Linked DNA regions of Macaca fascicularis. The protein of the gene in region 1 interacts with the protein of each later gene in a pairwise test. Links are inferred from orthologs where the notes say so. Each region holds a gene or a part of one and is shown in the gene's direction. Other genes may lie near its edges. The genes, in order: LNX2 and PTCD3.

What was found.
Region 2: the proteins of LNX2 (region 1) and PTCD3 interact in binary tests that used the Homo sapiens proteins (3 or more experiments, as listed by UniProt). The link is inferred for Macaca fascicularis from reciprocal best matches to the Homo sapiens genes LNX2 and PTCD3.

Annotation. Positions count from the first base shown.
Region 1 is NC_088391.1:7,541,306-7,545,130, reverse strand, and holds part of LNX2 (ligand of Numb protein X 2), read left to right. Parts: intron 1-3,427; coding exon 3,428-3,796; intron 3,797-3,825.
Region 2 is NC_088387.1:35,456,395-35,460,219, reverse strand, and holds part of PTCD3 (small ribosomal subunit protein mS39), read left to right. Parts: intron 1-1,598; coding exon 1,599-1,714; intron 1,715-3,825. UniProt on the Homo sapiens protein: Mitochondrial RNA-binding protein that has a role in mitochondrial translation.

The DNA of each region.
Region 1 (3,825 bases):
AATTGTTTGAACATTTTATGTATGTAGGCATGATCTAAGGTAATTGCAACCACCCTAATGGTACAGATTATGATACAGATTTCTCATAGCTTGTAATAAGTGCTCAGAAAATACTTGCTGAGTCAATAAAAGAGTGAATTTGAATAGAACATGCTGTTGGGAATAGCCATCTCCTTTATTAGAATGAAAACTTGGTTAGGATTTTTAGTTCTTGAAAAGAAATCTCTAGACTTGGGTCTGGGGGAGGCTACAAAGGCAGCCAGGACTGACCCTACTAGGGATTCTTGGGTTTGGTTTCCACTCCCACTTGTATGCTGCTTTTCATGGTGTATTATTCCTGAAAATAATTAATATCAAGCCCAAAACCCTTCCTTCGTTACCCCTAGCGTGGCTGAGACAGACTGAACTTTCAAACAGTGTTTTTTTTTGTTTTTTTTTTTTTTTACCAAATACTTAGACATAATAGAGGAATACAGGAATATAACTAATCCAGCTTATATAAAATCAGATTCCTGATCCAGTCATAGCTAGCTATTTAGTTATCCTAGCTGCATTTTGTGATATTAGTACTCTAGCTGCACAGGCTGGCACAACTTGTAGGACCCCTTGTATTATTTACGTCCTAGCTCCTGACTTGATTTTGCAGAGAGGGACTCTTATAACTCATTTCCCAGATTCGTCCTCCCAGACGTCTTGACACTTTGGCGGTCAGGACCAGGAAAGGCAGATAGTCCTTTTCTGCAGCCCACTGAGTGCTCTTTGACTCTCCCTCTTCTGGCCTTTTTAGCTGAAATGTAAATGTACACTTATTTTTGTGTTTTGCTACTAGCCCAGTATTGTTACCATATTTATACATTTTTCATTCTCTTTTTTAATTTTCAAAGTAAAAACAAATGTTTTTATTTATATTTCTTTGAATATAACTGAGATTCGTTTAAGTTTTTTTACTAATACATTTCATCAGTGGGCTCGTTTCTATTTTAGAGAATGGTTCATTAACACAACTGAATCTTTAGACCTCAAAAGATTATAATTATCTGAAATTATCAACCATGTTTTTGGGAATTAATTCAGAGTTATAAAGTCTACATTGTAGAAATTCCACTGCATTATTACTGTTTACGGTAACCTGTATACTAATAACTCCACTAATGGCAATCTTACATCTAGTTCAATGATTCAAATTGATAAGAAAGGTCTGAGCACATAACCTGATTAATGCATTCACAAAGGGTCTCTCCTGTTATAGGCCCTGACTTCTGATTGGCTTTTAACTGGTGTGTTGGAGCCAATACATAAAGCCACTCCCCTTTCCCACATGTGGACTAGTTATGGTTATTCAAAAGTAAACACTTGGAAGGAGGCCTCTTTGGTTACCTCCAACTTTGTATAAGCTGAATAAATATAACACAGTGAGCCAGTTTGAAAATTTTGAAGAGGCAGTAAGATGGTTCATTTGCAGACTAGAGAGCTAGCTTGCATTTTCATTTTTGCAGACCATATACATAAGCAGTGTGTATGGCTTTGGTGGTTTTCCCATATTTATATATATTTATTTATATACACAAACATTATTAAATAGCCTCTTTGAAAAGAAGAACCATATGCCCTCAGAGCCTTTTGCTACTCTTAGAGTTTCATATGCAGCCTCTTTGAGCAGTTTTGAAGAAAAAAAATACTGCTATTATAAATTACCTCAATATCATTATTATTAATAAAAGTAATATAACTTAGAACATTATTAAGAATAAGTATTTTCAGTTTAATGAAGTCATCAGTAATGTAGGCATTTTCAGTTCTGAAGGAAAATAATTACAGCTGTTGATTGTATCGATTAAAAAAACACATTTAGCTCAAAAATGAGATAGTTTGCTGGGTTGATGTTATTTTTACGAAATCTAGAAACAATATTTTATTTGCTTTATCTGAATTTCACCGGCAACCATGCATTCCTGGAGGAAAAATATTTTTCCAGTTGTAGAATATTCCCCAGCCTGCTTCACAAAGATGTGATGAGGCTGCATGGTTTACACATGGCTGGATTTTAGTCAGACATTTTGTAAAGTCATTTGTGATATGTGTGATATGTCTGAATGTAAGATAGAAAAATGTGAACCTACAGGTAGGGTAGCTTTTTAGCTAAATAGCTGGAAATGGTGGTTTAGCTAATGTATCTATGTCTGCCTGGATTTTTAGAAGCTGCTTTCTAAATATAATAGAACTTCAGAAGTTCCATTTGACCTTGTATTATTCAATACTTTTACCAAGGACTTGGATGACTACCAAATTCATAGATGTTGCAGACTTGGGAGAAAGCAAGTTTGTGTGTGACATCTGTGCATTTGGTGATTGAATTCTGAAAGATGTTAATAGGTCAAAATCAACAAAATTCAAAATAGTAGTATTTACAACTATCAATCCTAAGTAAATAGGAAGAGGGGAGTCTTGCCTAATGTGGATTTGTGTGAAAAAGATTTAAGAATTTTAGGTGATCATAAGCACCTAACTCAGAGCCTGTCATATAACAGATGGTCAGAGGATGTTGGTTTCATCTCAGATCTATTCAGAGAAGAACTCTAATTGTGATAAATGCTAAGAATCATGCTCATCTCTTGTAACTAAAGAAATAATTGAAGTTAGGTGTATTTTCTAAGTGCTGTTACATATCCAAGGATCAGTCACTATACTTTTTTCAAGGTTATAAAGGTGGATACATAAATGTTATATGAGTATTGAATAATGCATTAGATATACATTCTATTTTACTTTTAATGGTAAAAGCTGTAATGACTTTTGCACCAGCCTAATACTTGTGTGCTGAGGAATTAGAGTGAAATTACAATTAACCTGGTTTTCTTTCAAGTAAAAGTCACTTATCTAAAATAAGGTTGTATACCTGGAATGTGCTACTTTCCTTAAAATAACAATTTATTTTCTCTAGCTTAAGTGTATTTAATTTGGTAAAAGCAAATTTGTAATCTAGTAAAACTTAAATTTGTGTTCCACTAGAATTAGTATTTATTTCATTAGCACTTGCTGCATGTTGATCTGTTCATTCTCATACTGATCCCATGAAGTAAAACATATTTTACAGATGAGAAGACTCATCTAGACAAGTTCTATAATTTGCCTAAGGTTATCAGTTACTAAATGATAGTACCTAGGACTCTAATTCAAGACTGTCATTAAAGCCCGTGATCCTAGCTACTCTTGTCTCCTTGATGCTAATCAATGTAAGTTAATATTAGAAACTCTATTTTTAAATGTCTTTAATGTGGTTTTCTTTGTAAATAATGATTGTATAGCATTCTCACCATACTTAGCACTCTCACAATACTTAGTGTCCCTTGGAAATGTTACATAAACGTTCCTACAAATTGGAAAAATGAAAGGTTGTCACAGTTTTGTCACAATTCTTTTTTTCTAGGTCAACAACTACAATATCAGCAACGTGTCCCATAACTATGCCAGAGCTGTCCTTTCCCAGCCGTGCAACACACTGCATCTTACTGTGCTTCGAGAGAGGCGCTTTGGCAACCGAGCACACAACCATTCTGATAGTAACTCTCCGCGAGAAGAGATTTTCCAAGTGGTTCTTCACAAACGGGACTCTGGTGAACAGCTTGGCATTAAATTGGTGCGAAGGACAGATGAGCCAGGGGTTTTTATTCTTGACCTGCTGGAAGGGGGGTTGGCTGCGCAGGACGGCAGGCTCTGCAGCAATGACCGAGTGCTGGCCATCAATGGGCACGACCTGAAGCATGGAACTCCGGAGCTTGCTGCCCAGATTATTCAGGTAAACCCTCTGGGCCTTCATTCCAAAGG
Region 2 (3,825 bases), on another chromosome or scaffold:
TGCTAAGGCTTGTCTTTTTTTAGTTTTACCCCCTTTATTGGGTAGGTGTGTGCAGTCCTTCAGTAAAGACAGGTGTCAGACCCATAGCTCAGTAACTAAGTATACCAGGGAAAGGATCCTAGAACATTTCATTATCAGGCCCCTAATAAGTGCAAAACACTGTGCTAGTCATTTCACATACTTAATTCTACAATACCTTATTCATTGGTGTGTTTTTTATTTTTTTGTTTTGTCTTTTTTGAGACGAGTTTTGCTCTTGTTGCCCGGGCTGGAGTGCAGTGGCGCGATCTGGGTTCACTGCAACCTCTGCCTCCTGGGTTCAAGCAATTCTCCTGCCTTAGTCTCCCAAGTAGCTGGGATTACAGGCATGCACCACCATGCCTGGCTAATTTTTTGTATTTTTAGTAGAGATGGGGTTTCCCCACATTGATCAGGCTGGTCTCAAACTCCCGACCTCAGGTGATCCACCCGCCTCAGCCTCCCAAAGTGCTGGGATTACAGGTGTGAGCCACCACGCCTGGCCCTCATTGGTGTGTTTTATAGTAATCTTATGAAGGTAATTATTAGGTAATTTTTCCAGGGTCTCATAGCTTTGAGATGGTGTGAACCAGTTGCTTCTCCATAGCCTGTACCCTCTTCGCTCTGCCCTGCTTTCTCTTCTGGACTTTTACATTTCCTAATACTCATTTTAAATTTATCAATGTATTTTGTTTAGAAAGAAAATTTATTGGCTGGGCATGGTGACTCGCACCTGTAATCCCAGAACTTTGGGAGGCCAAAACAGGAGGATTGCTTGAGCCCAGGAGTTCAAGACCAGCCTGGGCAACATAGTGAGACCTCATCTCTGCAAAAAATTTAAAAATTAGCCAGGCGCAGTGGCACATACCTGTAGTCACAGCTGCTTGGGACGCTGAGGTGGGAAGATCACTTGAGCCCAGGAGTTCAAGGTTGTAGTAAGCTGTGATGTCCTTGCACTCCGGCCTGGGCGACAGAATGAGACCCTATCTCAAAACAAACAAAAAGATACATTTGCTTTTCTTGTAAAATAGCAGATTATATCTCATACTTCTCTTCCTCCTGTTCCCTTTTTAGCGCTTTTAATGAGTGTCAAGATGGGGACATAATGTTTTGAACAATTTTTAAGAGACTACTATAGTTAGACAATTCAGCTAGTGTTTCTAAGCAAGTTTTTAGTGAGTATCTGGATCCAAATGGAGTAATGCTACTTGCATTTGTTCAAATGGACCTGGGCTGGGGGAAGTAAGTGGGAATAGTTTGCAGTGTGTTCAGTTTGGAGATGATAATTAAAACCATGAACTAGCTTGAGAAAAATGAGTACGTAAAATAAGTGAGCACAGGCCCAAACTTCATCTTGTGTTCCAATCTTTTACATCAAATTACATGGTTAACAGGGGTTATGTCCCTGTCTATGTCACTCCAGGTGTTTAAGTTGACGTTGAGTGCATAAAGTAGTGGACAACATTAAGTATGTAGCCGTGAAGACCACAGCCAATATTAAAAAATGAAGCATTTTCACCTAACAGGCTTTAGTTCTTCATTGTTTCAAGGTTTCTTTCCCTTTCTGTTTCTACCCACAGGAACCACTGTGTCTCTTGAAACAACAAATAGTCTCTTGGATTTATTGTGTTACTATGGTGACCAGGAGCCCTCAACTGATTATCATTTTCAACAAACTGAGCAGTCAGAAGAATTGGTAACAACTGTTGGTCTTGATTTTTTTTTTTTTTCTTAAGCTTCTTTTTGAAGAAATCGCTTTTAAAAATAAGATGGGTTCTTTTGCCATGTGTCAGGGTAGTAGTAAGAGATTTGTACTGAGATGTGTGGTACGATAGCCTTGATTAAAAAGTGGTACAGGAAGAAGAGAGATTTTAAACAGTTACTTCTGTCCTAGTTTACTTTTTAACAATATGTTGTCCTCTCCTACCTCATATTAAGGCAAAGCGTTGATCTGAAATGTTTGGGCTGGCCTGTGTCACTTAGAGTAATAACATGATGTATTCTGGCCAGGTAAAGACTCCATGGCCTGGGCCCCCTCAAAAATTCATACATGGACTTAGAGGCGAGAACACACTAGGCTGGAGACAGAACAGTAGTGTGCGGGGGGCTGCCTGTAAGTTGAGTCATAGCCTCTCTCTCAACTCGTGAATTTTACTTCTAGAACTAGGTCTCAAGAAATCCTTTGGATCAGTCAAATAGAGATGCTCATGTGACATTTTTCATAAGGAGGTGTTTATACTTGTAAAAATGTTGAAAACAATCTAGATGTCCAACAGTAGATGATCAAATTATGATAAAAGTTGTGTGGCCATTGAGCACATTAGAGTAGATGTGTTTGGGTATGGAAAGATTCATCCAATAAGTGGGAAACAGGCTATCAGCAGTATATATTCCATTTTTGTAAAAATGTTTTTACAAATGCATAAGAAAAAAATCATTTAAAAAGTGTTTCTGGGTGATGGGATTATTGGTGTTTTTCTTCTTTTCTATCTTTCCTACTCTTTGCCCAACTAAATGTGGATTTCTTTTTTCCCCCAGAGACAGGGTCTCACTCTTGTCACCTAGGGTGGAGTGCAGTGATGCTGTCATAGCTTACTGCAGCCTTTAACTCCTAGGCTCAAGTGTTCCTCCTTATTCTCCCAAGTAACTGGGACCACAAGTGTGGGCCACCACGCCTGGTTAGTTTTTTTTTAGGTGGGGAGGGCGGGTAGACATAGGGTCTTGCTGTATTGCCCGGGATGGTGTCTTCAACGCTGGGACTCAAGCAGTCCTTCAAGCCTCCCAAAGTTTTGGGATTACTGACCACTGCACCTGGCCAAATGTGGATTGTTTATGTAGAGAACCTTACATTTTAAAAAGTGCATAGGCAGTGGGTTGCAGTTACACTTCACTTTCCAGAGCATCACTTCCTGAAGCCCTGCTCTGGTTGGCCCTCTACCTTTCCAGCCCCACCTCTTGAGGCAGCAGGCTACAGAGCCAGCACTGACCTCTGCAATGCCAACCAAGCCTGTATTGCTCTATGTCAGCCTCATCCCAGACCTTGGTTTATAAATAAAGACAAGATTTAGTCTTGTAAGAAGTCTTGCTGGGTGCAGTGGCTCACACTTGTAATCCCAACAGTTTGGGACGCCAAGGTGGGTGGATCATGAGGTCAGGAGATCAAGACCATCCTGGCTAACATGGTGAAACCCCGTCTTTACTTAAAAAAAAAATACAAAAAATTATCTAGGCATGGTGGTAGGCGCCTGTAGTCACAGCTACTCAGGAGGCTGAGGCAGGAGAATTGCTTGAACCCAGGAGGTGGAAGTTGCAGTGAGCCGAGACCATGCCACTGCACTGCATCCTGGGTGACAGAGCGAGACTGTTTCAGGAAAAAAACAAAAACAAAAATAGAAGTCTTAGTTTGCTTGGGTGAGTGTTAGACATTAAGTATATGTTGTTTATCTTGGTTTCACCCTAATTATGACAGTTTATCTGTATGGATCGAGCCAGATGTAGTCCCTGAGCAAATAGGATGTGTTGGTTGGTTTTCCTCTTTCTATCTGAGGACCAGGCCATACAGGGAAATGGCTTCATCTTGTCTCCACGCTGTCACTTGTTGCTTTGAGGGTCAACTTGGCTTTTCATCTGATTTGCACTTAAGAAATTAAATGTATAGGTGTAAGCGTTATTGGACTTCCTCTTTGCCATCTGCTGGATCTGTGTTTTCTTTATTTTTCTGAGTTCCCTTTGCCTTTCTGATTTTGAGTAGTCTGGGAAATGCATTCCATCACCTTAACTTTTATTTCTCTTGATGATTATTCATTT